Linked DNA regions of Nothobranchius furzeri. The protein of the gene in region 4 interacts with the protein of the main gene of each other region in a pairwise test. Links are inferred from orthologs where the notes say so. Each region holds a gene or a part of one and is shown on either strand. Other genes may lie near its edges.

Region 1 (6,007 bases), on a different chromosome or scaffold from region 4:
TCCTCGTCGCCGTGTGGAGGAAGGTAAGACACTCCTCATCACATAAAAACAAACAGATCAAAATTATTCCTTCTTCCTCATGGCTCCTTGTTGTCCTCTTCACCCGTGCTAACAGAAACCACGCTATGAGATCCGATGGAAGGTGATTGAGTCCGTGAGTGTGGACGGACATGAGTACATCTACGTGGATCCCATCCACCTGCCCTACGACCTGGCCTGGGAGATGCCCAGAGACAACCTGGTCCTGGGTGAGTGTGATGTACCAGGAGTTGGAAAGACCTGTTTGTGTTTATTTTAATGTTAAGAAAACAGAAAATAAACAAATCACAAAGGCACAAAGTTAAAGAAAATGTTTAGTTGTTTTTTTTTTACATTTTAACCAAAAATAATGCTTAAACTTTATTTCCTACATGTGAAAAACTGATTCACGCCATTTTTAATTAAAAATAACTTTGTTTTAAATGATAATAGAAAGATACGATCTTTGAAAATGTTATAAAAACAGGATCTGTTTTTGCAAATGAACTCTTCATTTTTATAAAGTGGAAGGAAAATGACCATCCTCTGAATTCTTGTTGCTTTTACCCAGCTTCCACACTTGTTACAGCTGTGGTTTATTTAAAGAAAAGGCCTATTGATGCTGACTAATCTGATCATAGCTATGGCAGTTACAGGATATTTATGACCCATGATCAGCAGAAATAATCTCTTCTTAGAAGCTGCCTTTTTTATTTTTTTTATTATTCAATACAAAATGACCTTACAATTATTATTATTATTATTATTATTATTATTATTATTATTATTATTATTATTATTATTATTATTATTATTATTATTATTATTATTATACCGCAGTGTGCTCTACCATGTTATTGGGTAAAGGGTCGATGGTTCCTATAATCGATCAGTTGTGGTTTATTTCTGAGTGTCTGACTCTGAGCAGGCTCTTATCCGTCACCCAGATGAGGACAAACTGTTTAAACTGGATCCATCCCCATGAGGCTTTTGTACTGCGAGTGGTTGGTTGTCTGCACACGGAATCCCTAATGAATACTTTTTAAACTGGACTCAGTCCCAGTTTAGCTAAAAGCTCCTTTTCATGCGTTTTGTTATTTTCTCTCATACAAACTGTCTCGAAGCTCTTGACATATTTATTTTCTGAATCTGCCAAAGCAAGTTTTTATATTAGTGTCCTTCAAAATAATAAGTCGAATCCCTCTCACTTATGTTCTAATGGGGAGAAGTGTTTGCTTCTTTCTCAGATTTCACACCGTGTCCCACTGAGGCCCTCTTTGTGTTTCAGGTCGAACTCTTGGATCAGGAGCTTTTGGCAGGGTGGTCGAGGCTACTGCATACGGTCTCACACATTCCCAGTCCAGCACAAAGGTGGCTGTGAAAATGCTGAAATGTAAGAAACACAATGTACAATAAAAGCTTCACATGCAAGATATCAGGCAACAGCAGCCTCCTGCACGCTCTCTGACACTGTCTCCCAGCAGCAGCCTGCTGAGCTTCAGCTGGTCTGACAGCCTGATTCAAGTTTCTTTTGACGTTTTCTGGCAGGAACACCGTTTTTCTCCTGCTCGCTGTACTCGTGTTGCTGTTCTCACATCACGTTCAGGTTAACACGTGTTCTTTCCTCTGCCCTCGTCCAGCTACAGCCAGGAGGAGTGAGACTCAGGCTCTGATGTCAGAGCTGAAGATCATGAGTCACCTCGGTCCTCACCTCAACATCGTCAACCTGCTGGGGGCGTGCACCAAACACGGTGGGCATCACACGAAGCTTTCCCACCAACACACACACACACACACACACACACACACACACACACACACACACACACACACACACACACACACACACACACACACGTGGTTCACGTAAAAATATATATTAAAAATTACAGCAAAGATTACTCTGTAGCAATTATTTCTGCATTTTCCTGTTTGTTCAGTAGGTTGAAATGATAAATATTTCTGTTACATTTGGATGAAAAATCCACTAAATTTGATTGATAACTGGTTAAAGATGACTTTTCCGGCACATTTTCTTCTCATCTGATTAAACCGCATTGATCGTATTTGCACTAAGTGAATAATTGTGTAAACAAGAAAGTTATGATTTCTTGTAAGAAATGGAAACAACCGTGTTACAGAGATGAAATTATAAAAATAATAGAAATGTTGATGTTTTAACACTGGACACCATGTTAACACAGCCAATGTGAACTCACTGATTTATGTTTCATTATACTAACGGTAAGCACAGCACTCCTAAGTGAAATGTTACAGCCAAATCAAATGTTTTGGCTCATTAATTTGTAGCTTAGGAAGAAAGATTGTTGGATCCGATTAGCAGGGCACATCTTGCCCTCCATAAAGTAGCTGATGGAATTACTGAACCCTTTTCATACATTAATGATCAGCTCCTGTTGAGACCCCAACCAGACTTTCCCTAATTCTATAACATCCTCACCTCTGCCAAGAAGGAACAATCATTCCTTCATAACTCATTCCATGAGACCGTTACTTGCTAACCGTTAGCATTAGCAACTCCCCAACACAGCAGAACTCCTTCAGGCTTGTGTTTTTTACGGAGATTAAACATAACTTTGCAAAGCGAGCAGAGTCAGTGGAAGAGTTGCATTGCTGTTAGCCAATCAGAGGTGAGATATTTCAATATCATGAATAATAATGAGTAAGACTCCAAATATTACTGTTTTCTGCCCCCCTTTCTTCTGGCTCTGCTTCCTGAAACAGGAGTGCCAGAACTTTTTTCCACAGATAAGAACTCACAAGGCAGTTCTCCCTGTAGGGGGTAGAGTTAATGATTTTTTGTCAGAAAACTATATTAAAAATAAAATTTCCATATGTGCATGTTATGTTTTTAAAGTGACAGTGTGTATTTCCCCTTTTGATAGAGGGCAGTACATACCTAAATTACTGCAAGCAAGCAGTATTTTTGTGTTTGAGTAAGACCTTACCAACGGATGGCCATTAGGGTCAAAAATCCCTGGGAGCTCAACCTCCAGCAAAATAACAAGAACATCAAACTCCCTTTCATCACTGGCAACAATGAAGAGTTAACCCTTTCAGGCTCAAAATACGTTTTGATAAAAGGACAAACAACTAAGTCCCTCGGGGGTACTTCTGAGTTTAAAAATGCTCATTAAATACATATGTGGAGTAACCAGGTAGGTAGGTTTTAACGTTGCAAATCTGCAACGCCTGCCTCCAGAGGGTTAAGGTGTAAAACAACAATGTTTATGAATGGTGAAAGATTTGTAACCGCTTGATACAAATCAGTAAATGCATTTTGTCCTCACAGGCTCCCGTAGAAGGAAACATGGCACCTATTATGGTGTCGCCCAGAGACTTAGACCCGCTCTCGTGTATTTTAGACCAGATTTTTATGATTATATGTTACAAAGCCGCCAATATTTTTCAACAGTCGGGCGTCATTTAATTCATTTTCAACAACATTTTGAGGGATATTTCCAGAGATTAACAGTATTTGCAACATTTAGCTTGTCTTTAAATCCTTATCCTTCATGTTTGATTTAGGCCCCCTTTACCTGATTACCGAGTACTGTCGCTATGGTGACCTGGTGGACTACCTGCACAGGAACAAGCACACCTTCTTGCAGTACTACGCTGAAAAGAACCAGGAGGATGGTTGCCTCATATCAAGAGGAAGCACCCCTCTCAGTCAGAGAAAAGGGTGAGATGAGTGAGGAAAATGCATTCAGAGCTGCACAAAGGAACATTTTATAGAAAATGGAGGACTTTTTCCGAGAAATCTTTGCCTTTGTTTTCAAAAAGTTCTGTTTAACTGATTGTTACAGATGCTTCATGTGATCAGCAACTACAAAAGGCTCGTTTGGATCTGGGTCAGTCGGGTGTTTTTTGATTATTATTTTCACACTTTAACGTATTTTTGCAGCTATGTGTCCTTTGGAAGTGAGAGTGATGGAGGATACATGGACATGAGCAAAGACGAGCCTTTGGTCTACGTGCCCATGCAGGAACAATTAGACTCCATCAAATATGCGGACATCCAGCCATCCCCGTACGAATCGCCCTACCAGCAGGACTTCTATCAGCAACAAGGTTCGACTTGACGCTGTCAGAGAAATCCGTTAGGATTATTGGCATGTGAGGATTTTGCAGATTTGCAAAATGAGGAATAATGAGAAAAACCAAACATTAGATCGAAAAGTGTGAAATGATGATGTGATTTAGCACAGTAACCATTTAGCTTTGTCTGACTAAACCTACTAATTCTGCACACTAAGAGAAAACAATTGGGAATGAAAACGGATGGTTTCAATTCAGAGATTTGCTAATAAAATATTAATAGTTTTGTTAGCTAGGACATCAAATGAGTTCCCTGAACAAAAGCAAAGTAAACCACGTGTCAGAGTCAATGAAAACCAGTGGGTTTCCAGCTGAAATGTAAGATTCAGTGTGAGCTGCTCAGATCAGGGCCCAACATCCAAATGTTTCTTTCACTTCTATGTTTTTAAGTCTGGACCTTGAGATGTCAGAGAGCTGTAGAGATCAGTGGAGTGTAAAGGGTCTGACAAGTGGAATGGTGCCGTGTGTTTACGACTATTTAAATAAACCAATAAAATCATAAATTGGAAGCTAAACTGCCACAAAAGACGAGGTCAGGTCAGGTCAGACCAAGAGCAGCACGGAGACATCTAGTAATCAAATCAGACGCATTAGTAGACCTAATTACTGTCTGAATCTGATCTAATAAACTTTAATTAGATGCCCTTTATTTGCAAAAATTAGCTAATCTAAAAATGCAGAATGGAAAATTGCACCAAGATTTCTAGCAATAGCTTTGAGAAGAAAAGAATATGAAAAATCTTCCGTATTTATTTTACTCTTGTTCACTGAACTTTTTCACAGAATGTGTTGCTTTATAATAATTTTATTTTGGAACTGTCTTTGAATTTCTCCTCTTTGGGTCCTGGTTCAGGTGGAACCAGACTGGACCTGGTGATCAGTGACTCTCCCAGCCTCTCCTATGATGACCTCCTGGGCTTCAGCTACCAGGTGGCAAAGGGAATGGAGTTCCTGGCCTCCAAGAATGTAAGAACTTTAAGACAACGCTCCAGATGTGTAGCTACCTCACACAGTATCCAGTAGGAATTATAAATCTTTCTTTTGTTTATCAGGTTTAATTAACTGGATATTTCCTTGACAGTGTGTTCATCGAGATCTGGCTGCCAGGAATGTTTTGATCTGTGAAGGAAAGCTGGTGAAGATTTGTGACTTTGGCCTGGCCAGAGACATCATGCATGACTCCAACTACATCTCCAAAGGCAGCGTGAGTAATAAATGATGTTATTCTGTATCTGGATAAAAAGACTCAGGGTCAAACAGGACCTAAAGGACTGTTTGGTGTGTTTCTCTCCTGATTCAGACCTTCCTGCCTCTGAAGTGGATGGCACCAGAGAGTATTTTCCATAATTTGTACACCACCCTCAGCGACGTGTGGTCATACGGCATTCTGCTTTGGGAAATCTTCACACTGGGTCAGTCTGAGCAGCACACCGAAGCAGAAAAGTCAGACACATCTGCAAATAAAAGGCATAAGCAGAGGTGATGTAGGTGATCTGCCCTCTCTAACCGAGTTTTACCTGCTCGTCTCCTGCACAAACACGCGTTTACGTCTATAAACAAACAAAGGTAGGGCAGCGATGAGTTTTTAACTCTACGTGTCTGACAGTAAGTCCACTCCAGTTTGTTTGGTCAACAGCCTTTTAGTCTCAGTCAAGCTTTGAAATCAGCATTTCCTTGCTCAGGGTATTGTAAGATTTTTTTATACTCTTCCCATTAATTTCCAAAGCTACCGTGAAAACAAAGAGGAGCGTTAACAGGGTGAAAAACACACTCACAATCTCCTCTCTGTGAACGACAAAGATTCTCTGTGCTCCTGCATCTGAAAGTCACTTTCATCGGACGTTCTGGGTCCGCAGTTTTTTTCCAC
Region 2 (6,298 bases), on a different chromosome or scaffold from region 4:
AGAAAATGGCTTCTGGGGTTGAAGTCATTAGACTCAAAACGTTCTTGCTTCCACAGACGGGAACAGAGGACGATCACTGCAACAACCAGGGTAATCATGGACACCAGAGTCCTTATGCAGGACCAAGTCTGGGCTCTCCTGTCAAACTGCACTCAGAGGTGGCCCCTGGAGATCGTGATGGGCCTTTAATGAGGAAGCTCCGCAATATCCATAGTTTGGAGCTAGAGAGGAGGCTGGGCCTGGATTCTAAGCCCAGCTCAGAGCGTTTCCCGGATGCCTGGTATGTTTGTCCAACCTTCAGCGTATGCGCATGAACACCTTGATTCCTCCTTGGAGTTTTCCATTGTTGATTGTTCCATCTGTTTTCTCCAGTTCAGGGAAACAACAGTTTGGCCCCCAGCATCAGGAGAAGGAGGCTGGTGTTACCCCAGGAACTCAGGGTCAAGCTGTGCCTGGAGAGCAATCAGACAGGGTCTGGCACTATGATGAGGAGTTCCGGTCTGGAGATGCTTCTCCAAAGCCAGCATCACCAGGGTCTTTTGAGCAGGGAGCGGGGGCAGCTAGCAGCGGGGGCTTCGTGGCCCTTAATTTGAGCTCTGGGAGGCAGGACGTTGACTCAAGGGAGTGGGTAATGGTGGAGCGGCCCAGCGGCTCACCTGGAGCCAAAGCTCCAACCAGCCCTTCAGAGGAGGATGAGGAGCCTGAAGTGCTACAGCCAGAGGAAGACACACCTGGATGGGAAAAGGGTTCCCCAAGCCCGGGTTCTGGGAAAGCTAAGCAGGAAAGCATGGCGTCCTCTAAGGGAAGTGCAAAAATGGACAAATTAGAGCTCAGTGTGGGTCCTGTAGGTGCTCTGCCACCTATCACTCCAACCAGCCCAGCTGAAGCTCTGGCTGAGGGAATACTTACTCAGGTAAGCTGCACGTGTTGAAGACCATCCCACAACATGGCAAACATAATGACTGTAGTCAGCATTTTATAAAGATAAAAAGCTGCACAGAGTCAGAGTTCTAGATCTAGAACTTCAATGCTTTGATCATAAACAATCCGAGTTCCACCAGCTGCATCTTGCTGTAGTTTGAAGGTAAATGTTACTGCTTTGTGTTTGCCTGCTTCTTCACTAGTTGTTAGCACAATGAAATGACACAACCTAAAGGCTTTTCAGTTCAATTACAACATGGGAAAAGAGAGCTTTTGGCTTTAAAGTCCAGCTTCATTTGTGTTAGAAGTTATGCATAGTTCCTTTGCAGACATTTGTGTTTATTTTATTTCACGTCACTACTTGATTTCAAAATCAGATTTTGGTTTGCTGAGCTTACGTTGCTCCTTTGCTCTTTTTTTTTTAAGTATTCTCGCTTGTCCAGTTCAAGGTTTCTGATCAATCTATAGATTTAGTCACTTTTAGCACTAATTGTCCCCCATCACATTCTTCAATAAATAAAAGGAGCCTTCCCAGACATCCAAGATCTCCATGTACCATCACAATTCTAGCAAGAGCAACACAGTTTTTTATTCACAGTTCCTCCAACTCCATTTTAGCACACCCTCACCGGTCTCACAACCCCTCCTCTCTCTTTCTCCCACTTCTTCTCCTACCCTTCTCCTAGTTCCCCACCTCTCCTCCATCTCTGCCTGAGGAGGTCGTGGTACGGACGTCCAGCCCTATCCCTCTGCGCTCTCCCAGTCCTCACACCCTCCTCACCACCCTGTCGGACCCACTGCACCAGCGCCAGCCTGCAGGCTTGAGGCGCAGCCAGTCGGCCGACCACCAGCAGCAGCGGGAACGCCCGTCCCTTTCTCCACCACCCAACCCTTCCCCAGGCACTTGCTCGCCCGGCCGCAGGAAACTGCCGGCCATCCCTGCTGGTGCTGCCAACACAAAGTTCCCCTCAGTCATTCGCATCACTCGCGCCCAGCTTCAGCAGGTGATGAGTTGAAAGCAATCCCACGAAATGAAACCTGCATTAAGCTTCTTCTTTTCTTTTTTTTTAGTTGCTTTTCTTGCTTTCCTGGTTTAGCTCTTTTGTTTGGTTGTTGCGTTGCTGTCAGGCAGCTCTCTCCCAAAACCATGAAGTACATTGTGCAGGCCAGACAGAGCATGGGTCAGACGTGTCCTTGTGTTCCTGTCATGTGATTAGGGGTGTGTCTTTTGTCTGATTGTGGCATGTGTATTTGGAATGTCCAGTCATGACTACAGGTTGCATGGTCTCTTTTGTTTCAGATCGTCTTTGTCCTCTCTATCTTCCTCTTCCTCTCTCTCTCCCTGTATTTGTTCCTCACCCTCTCTTCGCTGAAGCCCCCTGCGAAGTTGCGTGATCGTTTCCTGTCCTACCCGCTGGTTTAGTACTCACAGCTTGACTGACACTGCCATAGCACTTGTGTGTTTTGGTCTGATAATGGTAGCTATGGTTACTGCATGCTGTCGCCAAACTAATCACCATTTATTACCACATACAATCAAATTCCTCTCTGTTTACACATCTGCATCTGGCTCTTGCTGCTGATCTACAGCACAACTCCACATGCTGTGGTCTCCCAGCAACAGACCTTTTAATTCTAGGAATTTTACTCCCAGATTTAGTGTTGGTTTTGTTGGACTAACATCCGCTTGTCTTTCTCTTCCTGTCCACCTCTCCTTTCCTACAGCTGACGGCTCAGCGTCCCTCTGGGCTGTCCTCTCAATCAGCATCAGACAGCGCTCCACAGTGCCTCCTGCTGGAGAGGCGTGGTGAAGCTGAAACTGTGGCTCAACAGATCAAAGAGCACACAGCAGACACCAGTTCCCCCCAGGACCATGTGCCCACCCGCCCGGGGACACCAACCGACCCCCTGGCTGAGACTCTAGTTAACAGAGACAGCCACACCAAAGCTCAAAGCCCTGTGCCAAGCCGCGCATCATCACCACGCTCTCCCCGTTCAGTGCACTCGCTTCCTCTACGCTCACCCTCCTCTCCACACTCTCCCCGCAGCCCCGTGCTCACCAGTGGTCGTCTCTCATCTCCCGTTAACAGCCAAACTAACACCGCTCTCCAGAAGCTAAAAGACCCGGACAATGATTCTAGCCCCTCTCCATGTGCCACAGAGCCTCAGATGAAGGAGGTAAAGGGTGGAGAAGGGAATCTGGCCCCACAGCAGACTGGTGACCCAGCTCCAAGCTCTTCTCCCATTGCTTCCCGTAAAGATCCCAGCCGGAGACAAAGCCGGATTCCCGTTCTTGAGCCCTCCTGCCTGCTGGAGCTCCCTCCTCCAGGCTCTGCCAAGGAGAAACTCTTGCAGAAAAGAGCTAGCCACCATGGCTCAGTTCCTTCTCCCACTGCCTCTCCCTCCCTCTCTGATAGGCGAGGCCCCATTGTTGCCTCTCTCATTAGAGATCCACCGTCCTCCACTTCTGACCGCTCACAGGATGAGGACTCTCTCATAGGCTCCCGTTCTGACCGCCAGGGAGATGAGGCTCCATCTCTGTCCTCCTCCTCCAGTCCTCTGTCTCGCAAGAGCAGGATCCCTCGACCGGTTCATTCTGCCCCCTCTGCAGAGCAGCTGACGGCCCAGTTCCTGCCACGCCCACCCCCCGGAAAACCCCCGAGTCGTTCCACAGTGGAGGGCAGGTAACACATTACGGCTCAACTCGTCCCTTTTTGGGTTACAGGAATATAGTTCTGTTGAATCCAGTAACCAATCTGCTGTTTGTTTTGCGCACATGTAGGCTCAGGCGTTACCGCATCCGTGCTGGCAGCAACAGTGACTCAGACCTGCTGTCATGCCTCACACAGCTGATGCAAGGCTCCCGCAGCTCCTCCCTTCACCATCGTTCCTCTGTGCAGCACGGCAGCTCCAGGATGGGTGTCTGCAGCCTGGCGAGCTCTCCACATCATCATCACCACCGCAGCTCCAGCGCCTCGCCACGCAGCTCCTCCTCTTTGCAACGCTCCGTCAGCTCCTCGCCCTCCCGCCTCGAGCACCGCGGTGGCGGGGGAGGGATTTGCTTGGGCCGCAGCCACTCACCTCCCAGCTTCTCTGGCTCCCCTCCTCCCCGCCGTTTCTACCTCCACCACCAGGAGACGTGCTGCAGCCGACAGGCTCGTACAGGTCCCCTCCACCTGTCCAGGGGAAAGGGCTGCAGCCGAGAGGGCAAGTGCTCCAGCAAGCTGAGCAGATAGCTGCCCACCAGGCTGTGGTGCAGCAGCAGAGGAGAGGGAGGTTCCAGAGATGATAGAATAGACAACAGAAAAGATAAGGCCCGAGTCTTCCTGTTCTAGTAGAGAAATAATTAGGTTCCCTTCGCTGGCAGAAACTCTTCCTAATATTCTCTTTGTTTTTCATTTGCACAAAGGGTTTTATTTTTTTTATTTATTATTATTATTAATTCAGCTGATTAAAGTTGTGCAAACACAAAATTTAAAGTAAAACAAGCTCCAAATTTGAATTTGAGTTTTATTCACTTTCTCGTGAAAAAAAAAAAAGAATTTCATTTCTTCACAGTTTGTATGAGGATGCTGGATAAACAAACTGAGCCTTATGGGTAAAATTAGACACTTCAGCCATTATAATAATTTATCAGGCAGGCAATGTGGCCTTTTCGACATCCTCATGGAATATCTCTCACTGTGTAGACCAGGGGTGTCAAACATACGGCCCGCGGGCCGGATCCGGCCCGCAAGCGGGTTAAATCCGGCCCACGGGATGGTTGTGTAAACTTTATTTTCATACTTTACAATGTAGAGTGAAAATAAACTTATCATTGTGAGCAAGTTTCCTCTGTAATGAGTATAAATAAAACAAAGCTGTGCTCAAGGCTCACACAAGAACTTGAATCACATCCTGAAGTTGGCTGCCACTCAGGATGTGACTTCTAATATTGATGTGCTGGTGAAAGCTAAAAGATGTAAAGTAAAATGAGTCAAATATACTTTAAGTGATGCATGAAACTGATCTAGCCATGTGATCTGTAAGCTCTTTGAATCACTAAGGAATGTTTTTTTTTAATTTATAGATTTTTTATTTTTTTAAATTTCAAGTACACTTCAGGAGTTGTACTTGTACTATTTTGGATACACTGTCCTCAGGCTCCAGCTTTGTTTTATATTGATTGTATTAAAACAAAGAAAACAATCTGAAGTTGTTTTTAATTTACCGGTCCGGCCCACTTGGGACTAGATTTCCCTCAATGTGGCCCCTGAGCTAAAATGAGTTTGACACCTCCGGTGTAGACACAAGAAAAAATGAGTAAAAGTGATTTTTTTTCATGTTGCAGGCAGAAATATTACACCTAAAAAGCAACTGATTGCACCATTGGACACATAAACCCATAGTAATCTTAATTTTTTAGCCCTACTATAAATGCACTTGGGAATTTCCGATTCCAGCTCAGTGAAATAATGTTCACAATGTTGACTACATTATCTCCTCTCATTTAGGAGGGTGCGAGCAGGGTATGGGGTTTTTATCTCTGCTAAATTAATCGTTTTTTAAAGGTAATTATTTAGATGCTTTGTTTGCTATGCTTCTGGCTCCTGCTTCTTCAGTGTGTGATCTGGCGTCCCTCAGAGCAGCTTTCAGTGTTTAATTAAAGGGAGTGCTCAGTGTGACCCTTCGTACAATCAGTCATGTTGAGTGCGTGATGGCGCGCACCGTTTTGTGCCTACTGTGATGCTGTGAGCGAATCTTGAAGTCACACTGAATGACGTGAATATTATTATTATTATTATTGGATCCTGTTGGTGTTGCAGACTGAAACATGATGCGTTTGTCTCATCGTGTGCCTTTACACTTGGCCAGCTTGAGGGTTCACTCTGGTGTTAAAAATAGAAAAAATTACAGCAAAAGAGCCAAAAACAGACATCTGCCAGCAGTTAAATGATAACCCTTTTATTGTAAATAAGGTAGCAAGTGGTTGTTTTTCTTTTTGAGCAGAATTGAGTAAAGTTAAAGTGGAGACACTTGTTGGGTTTCAGCTCTCCTGTGTACACACAGGTCACGTTATCAAACTCTTACCTGACTAAAAACAGGTTCGCATTTATTTTATCCAGAACTAAAAGGCTTTCTTTGTGCGTGTTAATTCCTTTGTTTGTTAGCGAAATATCTCATGAGCAATAGAACAGATTCTAATGAAACGTCCAGAAAGTAAATCAATGGATGTAAAACACAAATAATAAATGTTTGGAGTCAACTTAATTCAAGATCCAATCAGAATCTATGGGTAACTCAACTTAGAAAACATGTAGTACATTTTACTGGTGTTGATCCTGAACGCTGTGTGAAAGTAGCTAAGATGCACCCCATCATATTTTTGCAGAGAGCT
Region 3 (6,007 bases), on a different chromosome or scaffold from region 4:
TAAAATAAACAGATAATAATCTAACTGTTCGTTGGGTAAACATAGCTTTCCTGAGTTTACACAATAGTCTGAAGCCAGACTCACCACTGTGCTGGCTTCCTGTGCTGCCAGCGCCCGGACCACCAAACGGCTGTGGCAGGTCATAGGGATGTGGAATAGGAAACTGATACGGCAGTGCCATTGGCCAAGGAGCTGCTCCAGGATGGGGCAGCGGGGGGACAGTGTCCTGGTCTGAGGCACCCCCACTTGAGCCGTCATGGTCATGTAGGGACAGGTGGGTCATATCTGAAGAAAACAAACACATAAATTAGATTATGACCTTTAGATTGACCACATTTAGTTCGTACATAAAAAAAACTACATTTCAAAGTCCACTCACTGCCACAGAGGTCTCCAAACACATAGTAGCACTGTTCAGAAAAGGTGATCTTGTTGACTGTGTGTCGAATGTAGCCGACTTTCAGCAGGTTGCTGGCGTATTTTCGTGCTTCCCGGCGATCTGAGAACCCTTCCACGTGGTGGAAGAGCCAGTCCACCACATCAGAACCTGAGGAGGCAGAATAGAGAATTTATTTTCTGACATTTGACTGCTAGCTGTTACATGACGTTATAAAACCTGTGATGAACAACAAACACTGAAAAAATATGTCAGAACATCGCACGTCCCACCAGCCGCCCAAACGCTTCAACAGAGCAGCGACTCTCGTTGCATGTAATGTAATTACTACTACTGCAAAAGCATGCGTCTTCTGTGCTTTGGAATGAGCTTCTCTCACTGTTAAGCAGTCTCCATCACTCACCGTCTTTTAAAACCAACACTTGGATTTAACACTGGTTTGTATTTTAGAATAATAATTCACGTGTTGTGACAGAGTCCAAAAGGGTGGTCTTATAAACATACCAATAAAGGCATTAGCGATGGTTATCTTCAGCCACATCCTGTCCCGCACCTCCAGGCCCGACTCAGGACAGGCCATGGCCTTAGCAACCGTTGCCATGTCGCTGTGGATGGAGAGGTGGAAGTCATCGAACCCTAGAAGACAGACGAGGACACACAAATATGTAGTTTTAAAGGGATACTTTGCAACTTTTTCATAATTTTAAATCATTTTCTTGAGCCAGTATGACCCTTTACAAAGTCAACAGCAATTTGAACTGATCCAACAACACAGATGCTTTGTATAAGAAGGGCCAAGTTCATGGTTTTTTAGTGGTCAAAGGTTACAATAATAGCTTACAGCTTATCTGTATGTGCATGTACATTTGTTATTATTTTTCTTCAAATTATTCTCTTAAGTGTTGGTGTTGCTGTAGCAAGAGAATGTCCCCAGTGTGGGATCAATAAAGTCTATTTTATTCTATTAGTGAAAGGCCTCTATCACCACCTGTGGCCAGAATATTCCACTTGCAACTTCAGACTGGCGGGCTGCTCTGTTGGGACTTAGTCTGGTTCTAGAATGTTTCCTGCATGTTTTGCTCAACTCAACTTTATTTATAAATCGCGCCTTACAGGCAAAAACATGCCACCAAGGTGCTACACAGACCAAGTAAAAACATAAAACATTAGGTCCAGAAAATAAAAACATTGGATCACACGATACAGACAAACAACACAGTGAATGTGTGGGATCACTTTAAGTCAAACAATAAAAACTAGTTAGAAAGATTAAAAGACAGATCATAAAAGTAGGTTTTTAGCCTTGCCTTAAAAACCGTCACAGAGGTGGAGGCCCTTATGCTAAGAGGAAGCTCGTTCCAACGCTTAGGACCTGCCACAGCAAAGGCCCTATCACCACGCGTCTTTAGGCGTGACCTTGGGACCGAGAGGAGCATGAGGTTCTCCGAGCAGAGTGACCGTGCAAGGGTGTACGGTTGAAGCAGTGACACCAAGTAAGGAGGGGCCTAACCATCTGACGTTTTAAAAACCAGCAAAAGTAACTTAAAACGAATCCTTACATCAACGGGCAGCCAATGAAGCGCAGCCAGGACAGGAGTAATGGGGTCATACTTGCGCCTGCCCTCAAAACCTGGCAGCAGCATTCTGCACTATTTGCAACCTGGCTATTGAGCCCTTGTTACAGTAGTCCAATCACACCGTAATAAAAGCATGGGCTACCGTCTCAAGATCATGTCGTGACAAGAAAGGTTTGATCTTTGTCAGCCGACGAAGGTGGAAAAAGGAGGAGGAGAGCACTCCATTGATGTGGGTATCAAAACTAAGGGCGCTATCTAGTTTAACACCAAGATTAGTCACTGATGCACTCAGCTGGCCATTAAATGACCCACAGTCAGTTAGGGAAGAGTCACAATGTCTGCTTGGAGCAAACAATATAGCCTCTGTTTTCTGATCATTTAAGCTCAGAAAATTTCCACTCATCCAGGCCTTGATCTCCCTCAAACAGTTCGTAAGAATAGAAATAGAGAGACCACTTGACGTGTTCAGAGGCAGGTACAGCTGACCATCGTCAGCATAAAGGTGGAAGTGAACTCCAAGCTCACTACAGATGTCACCTAAGTGCAGAATGTAAGTAGAAAACAACAAAGGTCCCAATATCAAGCCCTGTGGTATACCCCCCAGGGTAAATCAGAGTACTTTGAGGAATAACTTCCCATCCTTACACACATCTTTCTATTTGTCAGGTATGATCTGAACCACTCCAGGGCTAACCCAGAAATCCCGACATAATGGAGACGGTGAAGCAGCGCTTCATGGTCCATCGTGTCAAAGGCTGCCGTGAGGTCCAACAGAAGCAACAACACAGAATTACCGCTATCAGTAGCTAGATAAATGTCATTGAGCACTCTATCCAGTGCAGTCTCAGTGCTGTGTAGAGCTCTGAAGCCAGACTGGAAAGCCTCAAAAATGCCATTCTCATCCATAAAAACCAAGAGCTGGTGGTAAACACATTTCTCTAGTGCCTTACTTAAGAATGGAAGTTTAGAAATGGGCCTGTAGTTTGCAGACAGTGAAGCATCCAGTCCAGGCTTTTTGAGCAAAGGTTGAACAACCGCCTTTTTAAAATCACCAGAGACTACGCCAGAGCTTAGGCTCATGTTAATTATGTGCAATATTAGAGGGGTGACTACTGGAAAGACTTCTTTAACCCTCCCACTGTCCTACTGGGTGTGACCCCATGAGGAAAGCTGACCATTGAGCAGGGTTGATGGCTCATCCCTTGGGTCCATGTGGCAGGGGTGAGGAATGAGCACCGCCTCACCCCTGCCACGTGGGCCTCAAGGGATAAACCATCAATCCTGCTCAATGGTCAACTTTCCTCGCGGGGTCACCCATAAAGACGGTGGGAGGGTTAAAGAGGCGCGCAGGCATCACGTCACCTGGCAAGCCGCTCGGCTTAGCCTCCCCAACAATCTTGATCAAGTCATCTAAACTAATTGGTTGAAATGCTATCAAACCTCTGATAGTATCGCAGAAGGGCTTTCCCCATAAAAAAGTCAAAGAACTCATCACACATTTTAGCTGAAGCCTGCACCAAATGGTGATCAATCACTTTCAAAACTGAGTTAATTGCGGTATAAAGTACTCTAGGGTTATTTGAGTTTAAGGAAGTGAGAATGGAACAGATCTAACTGCCTCCTGGTAAGATTTGCAACTGTCACGTAGAGCAATTAGGGAAACATGCAGATTGTCCTTCTTCCACTGATCATGAGCACAGCTGATTTGTTTAATTTAGTGATGAATCACTCCTGTAGACACTAACAGGCTAGGGAGATGTTTCAGCTTTTATTAGATTAAGGTGTAAAAAAGACTCTAACCCAACACACAGCGAGGAGATAGGTTTTGCTTTTGGTTCTACAATTGGACACTAGAGGGTGCTAAAAGCAAGCCAAAACTGCCTTGTTCTCCTTTAGAGGTCTGAGATTTTACTTACTAAAAAATGCGGATGTGTTCGGAATTTGCCTAAAAAGATATCTGACTTATTTTGTTTCACCAAAAATGTGAGACATAGCTTAGCCTTGTCCATGAAAAGCACTTGGACCGGACCAAAACTTTGCTCGTTTTCACAGAAAATGCAGCAGCTTTAAAACAGCCAGACCATGGAATATTAAACCTCCCCACAACGGTGATTCCCAGCTGGGAGTCCACACCCCTGTAACAAAGTGCCAAAAGCAACAGGAAGCATGCCAGGGTTTCACTGCACCGGGGTTGTGAAAATACATTTTGCACATGCACAAATAATAAATCTATTACACGAATCCAAATGCTGCACAGAGATCAGTAATAATGCATTTTCTGTAGTTTTACACACAAGTGGCTGCACGGTTTACACTGACTGAAACAAAACCCAACTGTGCATCTTATGACGGCTGAAGCTAGTTTTACTTTTCTGCAGCCGCATGTGAAATATAACCCACAAAAATGAACCAGATTCATGACAAAACAACGAGAATGATTTTTACAGGTCTTATCAAGTCAAGTGTGATTCTATTTAACCCAAATATTCAGGAACATAGAAATGAAGGAAGGAAACATTTTTCTCGACAAATGAAGCTAAAACATCCCAGTCGTTTCCAAAGATTACAGAGAAGATTAAACTTGTGAGTTATGGCTCCGCTTAGACCGGGAGTTATCCAGCAGATGGAAGCCGTGAGGCTCCCAAATGGAACAGAGACGAGTCACAGGAATGTGGTTTAAGGGCGAGGCCACACTAACAAACATGTCTGAGGAGAATCGGAGTATTAATAAAAGACTGATCGTGAAAACGTTTAGTTGGTGCACCTTTCACAGCAGTGCAAACAGTCAGATAAACAAACAAATGACAACAAATAAGAAAATGTGCTTAAACTACCGAGGAGCGAGCGATGACAGTTGATTTGAATAACAGTGCCTCAATAACAAGCCACAACAGGCAGCTGCAGGGGGACGACATGACTCACGTTCAGTCTCGGGGATAGAGCTGCTAATGGAGGAGCTGGTGGAGGTGACGGTGCTCATGGAAGGGCTCATCCCGTAAGCAGGGTAAACCCCGGTCATAGCGGCGGTGTGGGACACCCATGCAGCCGGGTCGATGGGCCGGATGGGCTCACCTGGTCAGTGTAAGGAAAGCAGACGGAGTGACATTAAAGTAAAACTAGAAATGAAATCAATCCGTCATTTAGATTTATGAGCACTCCAGCATTTTCACAGAGAACACATGTAAAAAAGAAAAAAGAAAAACCAGAAACAAGTACTCACTCCTGGGCAGAGCAAAGCAGCTCCGAGGGTTTGGGTCCCAGCACTTTGCAACAGTCAAGGTGATGGGGCTGCAATAAACAGCAACATCACCAAGACTCAGACGTGTGTTTTGTGGGTCTAACTATAGAATGTTGTGTGTGTGTGTGTGTGTGTGTGTGTGACGGACCCTGGCTTGTGCACGATGTCCCTCAGTACTCGGACTGCGTCGTCGTTACTCATATTCTCAAAGTTTATGTCGTTCACCTTCAAGCGGGAGAGAAAGAAAAAAAAAAGTCTGAAAATTACAGCGTGTCAGACTGCGTGCATTTTTCTTTAAATTGTGCATAATTCAGAGTGACACGAGGAATGAGACCTTCCACATAAATAATTTACTACAACAGAATCTCAGCGTGCTAATAACTCCCCCTGCACAGGGTCATTAACCGAACTGGGAACGTCTCAAAGCAATAAGAAAGTTTCCATGTAAACATCTTTACAGCATGACGACAAACTAGATTAACATCATGAGGAAGAGAATGGATGCATGCAGGGCGAGGAGGCGCAGGCTCTGCTAGCTATGTAAGGACTTTTTTCCAAATGCATGCATGGGAATGATAATATGAAGAGGACAAAATTATATAAACAAACAGACCAAGGTCAAAGGTCCATGCTGAAAATATGCACCGTCTTTCCACAAACACACACCTGTAAGAGCATGTCCCCAGGCTCTATGCGCCCATCTGCAGCCACAGCCCCTCCCTTCATGATGGAGCCGATGTAGATCCCCCCATCTCCCCTCTCATTACTCTGACCCACAATACTGATGCCCAAGAA
Region 4 (6,482 bases):
CACTCCTGGGTCCTAGCGAGTGTTGCAGGTATTATACCCGGACAGACACATCAGAACAAGGCTGTACACACCCAGAAAAGTCCCGGTGACTAATAAAAACATTGATTATTATTAATACCTTATATATCTGCTGACTCGTTGTGAGCAGGCCTAAAATGACAGCTTCACCTACGGTTCGTGTCTCCACCTTGATGATCAGCCGATAGTTCCTACCTGGTAAATGGCGCTCCACCTCTCGTTCTCATCGATTTCCAAGAACTCGGCTTCCATTGCTTCCAGTTCAGCTGCCACTCTTTCTTTACGCCCAGCCCAAAACGAAGAACCACAGCTTCCCGGTAATTAAAGAATTAGTAGTGAATCGGTTTCCGGTAGTAGCTGCCCAATCTTCGGCCGCTGTTAGCTCGCATTCAGTGCGGCTGCTTAGATCGCCATCTCGGCCTACTCTTAACGGAAACACGCCGCTAGCTCCTCCTACACGGTGTAGCTGTCGTCCTTGGGTGGCTAAAAAGAGCACAATGTGTTTTGTTTTGTTTTAATTTGCTGCTGTGAGATATCTGTGTAGGATTCACAGCACTTCTTCAAGTCTGGAAAGTAAGTCTGTTGACACAGAATCGTCATCTCACCATTTCTGAAACAGCAGCGACCAACAGGCGAGGACGCGCGGGAGGCATCATATTTCTGGGAAAAAAACGCGTCTCGCTCTTTGGGGAGCGCGCACGCACACTCACGCACTGTGTACGTCATCGCCCCGGCTGCCGGTGAATTTGGCAAGCTGTTTTAACATTTAATATAATTACATTTAAAAAGTAATTTGAACGTCAGTGTAAATATTTCTGTCAAAATGACAATCTGAATTATAAAATCAAAACCAATGATAACCAAAACTGTCACAATATTAAAATTGTGTCTCAAGTTTTCCATAACTGAGACTTTGTCAGGGAAAACAAACTTTTGAAGCAAATTATGTCAGCTTTCCATTAATTTATATTAGGTTATCCCCTTCAGATGTGGCAAACATATCTGTCCATGTCTTTGTCTAGTTCATATTTCCACTGCACAAGTGAGTTGACATTTGAGTTCATCTTTTTAAATGGCACTTTGGTCACAAATAGCATTTTACTTCTACACTGTGCATAGAAATGAGTAACATGTCATAACATTTGACATTGTTTTATTAAATTGTTCTGCATTTCTACTGCATTACTGTTCTTTTTAACACAGCAAGTGTTATTTTACCTTGTTTTTGCATCAGGTAACAACATCGAGTAACAACATCAGGTAATAACATCAAGTAACAACATCAAGTAACTACACCATATAACAACATCCGGTAACAACATCGGGTAACAACATCAGGTAACAACATTAAGTAACAACATCAAATAATAACATCATGTAACAACATCTGGTAACAACATAATGTAACATCATCATGTAACAACATCTGGTAACAACATCAGGTAACATCATCATGTAACAATATCAAGTAACAACATCAGGTAACAACATAATGTAACATCATCATGTAACAACATCAAGTAACAACATCAGGTAACAACATAATGTAACATCATCAGGTAACAACATCAAATAACATCACGTAACATCATGTAACATCATCAGGTACCAGCATCAGGTAACATCAGGTGACATTAAGTAACAACATTATACAACATCTTGTAACAACATCAGGTAACAACATTATGTACTATCATCATGCAATAACATCAGGTACCAACATCAAGTAACATCATGTAACAAAATCAAGTAACAACATCATGTCTGAACATCAGGTAACAACGTCATGTAACAACATATAGTCATGTAACAACATATACTACAACAGCAACAACAACCACAGACTAAAGGCTATTCATTTTACTACGAACAAGTGAATTCTGGATTTTTGTTTGAAAGTTCGTGTCCAACTATTATATGATACATCTGCTTGCCAACTATGTTGTTGGTGGCGCTACTGTGACCCACTGCAGTTTAGTCAACGTTAAATTGTTGGTGTTCAAAGATCGTTCTGGGACATAATATGAGATAATTTTGATATTTTGAACAGACCCGTCCCCGCGGAGGCCGTGTGTTGGTGTGACCTGACGGAGGTCATGATGGATTAGGGCGGTTTGAACTGAGACTTTGGTGCTGCTACAGTTAGTTAGCAAAACAACTTAGCTAGACGTTTTGACTCTGCCCTGCAGGTATAATGCAAATTCTTGCCAAGTTCTTGTGTGTGTGTCGCTTCTTGTTTTGTCTCCCTCTGGCCTACAGGCCGCTTTTGTAGCTGCTGTTTTCTGAAGTTGTGTGGCGTTGGCGTTAGCCGTCAGCTGTTGTTCAGTGCTGCTTTTAGCTCATGTGTAGCTATAGTTATTGCCTCCCAGTGGTGGAAAAAGTGTTAGGATCTTTTCACGGTAAGTTTCATCACCACGATCAAATAAAAATCCTGGTTCTAACTAAATGTACTTGTAGTTTCAAACATGGGTTTTTGTTTGACAAATACGTTTGTTTTATTCTTTTTTTTTTTGTCTGGTTTTAATCAACATATCAGCTTTTAAATACCTAAGGATGGATAATACCTGTTTGTGGACTCTTCCACTGACAGATGTGACATTATTTGATGTCTTTCCTTGTTTTTTTCTTCCAAAACAAAACAACAAACCAATACACACACATCTAATGATTTCTACAGATTCATCAAAAATGTTTTTTCAGTAGTCATGATGGTTCCTGAATAATCTTTAACTAATGAGCCAATGCTAAAGTTTTTATTATTATTATTAATCCAATAATCCGGTGCTTCCTGTCTCTGTTCCTGTTCCCAGATGGCATTGTGGTCTGCAAGAATTCCGTTTATTTGTCTTGATGTATTTATTTTAGGTTCCTGTGGGAGTTTGAGATCTATGACGGATCCTCCAAACAGCATGGCTCCCAAAGACATCATGACAAATTCCCATGCTAAATCCATCCTCAATGCAATGAATTCACTCCGCAAGAGTAACACACTCTGCGACATCACTCTGAGGGTGGACAACGCGGATTTTCCTGCTCACCGGATCGTCTTGGCTGCTTGCAGCGACTACTTTTGTGCCATGTTCACCAGTGAGGTAGAACTTTCTTTTCAGGACTAAAATGTACAAAACAGTTTTTTTTTTAAATATTCACAATTTGGGGGCATTTCCCCTGTTTGGGTTAACTATTACTTGTAACTTAAATGGATGTGTGTGGATTTTATACTGGATGTACAACAAATTTTTCAAATCATTTGATGGGAAATAAAAAGAAAACCTAAATTTATTTTAGGAAGAGGTTCTGTTAAGTACAGTTGTATTGTAGGAACACATGAGTTCATCCCAACATTTGAGACTTTATTTAATATTTACATAATATTAGTTTTACTTCCAACATGCTTCATAAGTAAGAGATGCTGCAGAACAGCACCCTCAGCATCCATGTGTTATTCTGACATGAGATCTTTCAAATCCAACAGATCTTTTTACTTAGTGAGTAAATAACAGAAGTCTACATTTTACCGTTGTGTGTGAGCCAAACAAAACAAAACTTCGGACGTTTGGAAGCCGCACAATGACAGGCCTACAAATATGGTTTCATTTGCAGGTCTTTTAATAATGGTTTATTTTGTTATTTAATGCTTTCACTGGGGATAAAGCTTGTTTTGTTGCTATAACAGGCTGAAATATGTAGACATTTTGACCTGGAACAGCTTGCTCCAATGTGTTAAGACAGTTATTTCTAACTCACAACCAGAGAGGGCTACTTCATCAGAAATCAGGTCAGTCTTGCTTGCAACTGATTCAAAAGTAAACAGCACATCAATAAGTTTTAATCATCCAAGAGTCACAGCAATGCTACTAAATGAAGAAAACGGGCGTAACACAGGAATTTCTCCCATTTTCATCGTATTCATCTTATCTGGAGAAAACAAAGCTTACGTTCTTTAGATAATAAGTTGTTGTCATCATTAGAAAATGAGCACAGCACTTTTTCAGATAACTGAACAGTCGACTCTTGATCTGAAGGAAATCCCATCAGACCTAAAAATAGCTGCTATCTGCTTCCATGCTAAGTGTTTAACTTTTCATGAAGCTGCATTTGCAACCATTGCATCTAACTGAATGAAAACACTGTTTGCTGCTCCATTTATAAACGTTTTTACCAGCTGATGTTAATAGATTCTGTTTTACTTGGATCCATCTCTTAGTTAACAAGATACTTTAATTATTCTGCTCCAACCTGGAGGGAGTGTTTCACCTTTATACGGTTGAGAACAATGACATCGGTCTTAGAGGAGCTGATTCTCATCCCAGCCCTCGGCCCCCAGCTGTGAAGCATGCTAGTGCACGCTAAAGATCATAGCCTGAAGATGCTAACAGAACCACATCATCTGCTGTCACCTAAAGCAGAGATGAGACCCAAACCACTCGACTGCGATGTGAGCTTCCGTTCATGAAGATTGCTGACAGGATCAGACACCAGTCCTGGTGGAGTCTAGCTACTCAGGCAGCGAGTCTTTATCATGCTGCATCATCAGAGATCCTGCTGCAGGGTGTCATTCAGGACGTGCCTTTTATTGGCAGGTTTGATAACTTGTTTTCAGAGCTGTCAGCTTGTGGGTGGATTGTTCAGACTAACACTGGACCTAAAAATCCCTCCTAGACACATTTGAACATACTAACTGTTGCAGGATGGATCTCTCCTCAGAGACAGTGTTTGTTTAACGGAAACCCTTTTGCCCCTCTAAATGCCGATATAATTACAGGGCATAAATATCCTTGTAAGGGAACAAAATCAGAAAAATGCATCTGGAGTTTTTTTTCTCTCTTTTCTACCTTAGAGCAGGGACTCCCTAAGTGTGGTGCGCGAGCTGCCGCTAGGGGGTGCGCGAGGTGAAAAGTGTAATGGCTGCGGAGCTCAGAGAAGTCTGTCATATGTCACCATTAGCGTAGCCAGAAACTCCTTTGTGGGTGGGCCCAATAAATGTAATTGGAAAACAAGTATATTTTGCTTGTGTGTGTGTGTGTGTCCTCCGCATGTGCCCTAGCTTCATAATAATGCGCCGAGTTTCAGCGCTCTGGCTTGCGCACGCTGTCAACAGCAGGATATGTTCAGTATTTGATCATTTTTAACGGTGTTGGAGGAATCTGAAGGTGGTGAGTCATTCTGGCAGATTGTAATTAACACCTGTCTCATGCAGGTGTTCTGAAGTTGTAAACCTCACACACACACAGAACATTGTAGATGTAACAGAATAAATCAAGAAATGATTCCCATCTGAGCATTTTAGCATTATTATATTATTATATTAGCACACTGACTGTGGGACAGCATTCTAAATGTGTCAGGCTGTTAACAGCACGCTGAAGGTCTGAAGTTCAGAGTGCGTCTGTCAGAGGTCAGACGCGTTCCAGCGGAACCACGGCTCACGGGTGCACATGTGAGCACATCTGGGCTGGGCAGAAGTAATTTTACAACATTGGTTTGAATAGCACCAATAACGAGACGCGGTGACTGGAGCGGCGCATGGAGCTGTGCCGCACGCGCGCGCACACACACACACACACACACACTGATTCAACAAGCGCACGCTGCGCTGTGCCGTCAGACTGAACGCAGAAATGAGCGCTGCCACTTCCGTGATAAAAAAAACTTTTAAGAGGTTTTATAACAACATTTTTCATTCAAGGTCATATTAGCTTCCATTTTGGGATGACGTATTAAAGTCGAGTCCGCTCCAGCCAGTGACTCTTCATGAACCTGACCACAACACCCGTTACTGCAGCATTTGTTATTCCAGTCCACTTGGCAGCGAATCGCAGATTCAGCCACCATAAAACAGCAATAAGTCTGTCTGAGGCAAAAGTGAACCTCATGGCTATAGCTTTTCCATCTTTTCCCATATAGACATTTGATTACGCACAAGTAGGTGGCCAGTTCAGGTTTACGCAGAGCAGAAGGAAGGAGAGAGCTCTGGTTAAACAGTCCTGCTTTAAGAAAACCATTAAATTGCATTGTTTATGTGCTACCTGGGCACTCTAAATATTGATTTAAAATTAAATATAAGGAAATTGTAATGGTATTGAATGTTTATTAATTACTATTTCAAAAATACATAATACATAAACATAAAAATGAAAGTGATGGGGAAAAAGGTCGATCATATTTTTTAACCCTGTCTGTCGATTGACTGTTTAGCGTGACGTCTGATATATACAGTGGGGCAAAAAAGTATTTAGTCAGCCACCGATTGTGCAAGTTCTCCCACTTAAAATGATGACAGAGGTCAGTAATTTTCATCATAGGTACACTTCAACTGTGAGAGACAGAATGTGAAAAAAAATCCATGAATTCACATGGCAGGATTTTTAAAGAATTTATTTGTAAATCAGGGTGGAAAATAAGTATTTAGTCAATAACAAAAATTCAACTGAATACTTTGTAACATAACCTTTGTTGGCAAT

Evidence for each region.
Region 1: the proteins of kelch-like protein 12 (region 4) and pdgfrb interact in binary tests that used the Homo sapiens proteins (3 or more experiments, as listed by UniProt). The two-hybrid records come from large-scale screens. The link is inferred for Nothobranchius furzeri from reciprocal best matches to the Homo sapiens genes KLHL12 and PDGFRB.
Region 2: the proteins of kelch-like protein 12 (region 4) and ttbk2a interact in binary tests that used the Homo sapiens proteins (3 or more experiments, as listed by UniProt). The two-hybrid records come from large-scale screens. The link is inferred for Nothobranchius furzeri from reciprocal best matches to the Homo sapiens genes KLHL12 and TTBK2.
Region 3: the proteins of kelch-like protein 12 (region 4) and segment polarity protein dishevelled homolog DVL-3 interact in binary tests that used the Homo sapiens proteins (3 or more experiments, as listed by UniProt). The two-hybrid records come from large-scale screens. The link is inferred for Nothobranchius furzeri from reciprocal best matches to the Homo sapiens genes KLHL12 and DVL3.

Annotation. Positions count from the first base shown.
Region 1 is NC_091741.1:96,091,114-96,097,120, reverse strand, and holds part of pdgfrb (platelet-derived growth factor receptor beta), read left to right. Parts: coding exon 1-23; intron 24-115; coding exon 116-248; intron 249-1,306; coding exon 1,307-1,411; intron 1,412-1,658; coding exon 1,659-1,769; intron 1,770-3,567; coding exon 3,568-3,724; intron 3,725-3,946; coding exon 3,947-4,113; intron 4,114-4,993; coding exon 4,994-5,106; intron 5,107-5,221; coding exon 5,222-5,344; intron 5,345-5,440; coding exon 5,441-5,552; intron 5,553-6,007. UniProt on the Homo sapiens protein: Tyrosine-protein kinase that acts as a cell-surface receptor for homodimeric PDGFB and PDGFD and for heterodimers formed by PDGFA and PDGFB, and plays an essential role in the regulation of embryonic development, cell proliferation, survival, differentiation, chemotaxis and migration.
Region 2 is NC_091758.1:23,508,547-23,514,844, reverse strand, and holds the end of ttbk2a (tau-tubulin kinase 2), read left to right. Parts: intron 1-56; coding exon 57-280; intron 281-372; coding exon 373-913; intron 914-1,607; coding exon 1,608-1,925; intron 1,926-2,646; coding exon 2,647-3,605; intron 3,606-3,703; coding exon 3,704-4,157; 3' UTR 4,158-4,305; downstream 4,306-6,298.
Region 3 is NC_091751.1:58,280,249-58,286,255, forward strand, and holds part of segment polarity protein dishevelled homolog DVL-3, read right to left. Parts: coding exon 5,879-6,007; intron 5,438-5,878; coding exon 5,361-5,437; intron 5,263-5,360; coding exon 5,195-5,262; intron 5,047-5,194; coding exon 4,897-5,046; intron 1,034-4,896; coding exon 902-1,033; intron 548-901; coding exon 380-547; intron 286-379; coding exon 85-285; intron 1-84. UniProt on the Homo sapiens protein: Involved in the signal transduction pathway mediated by multiple Wnt genes.
Region 4 is NC_091755.1:52,044,252-52,050,733, reverse strand, and holds the start of kelch-like protein 12, read left to right. Parts: upstream 1-2,131; 5' UTR 2,132-2,207; exon of another isoform or gene 2,208-2,277; 5' UTR 2,278-2,359; coding exon 2,360-2,417; intron 2,418-2,883; coding exon 2,884-3,110; intron 3,111-6,482. Other genes in the region: ptpn1 (tyrosine-protein phosphatase non-receptor type 1), read right to left, coding at 214-270. UniProt on the Homo sapiens protein: Substrate-specific adapter of a BCR (BTB-CUL3-RBX1) E3 ubiquitin ligase complex that acts as a negative regulator of Wnt signaling pathway and ER-Golgi transport.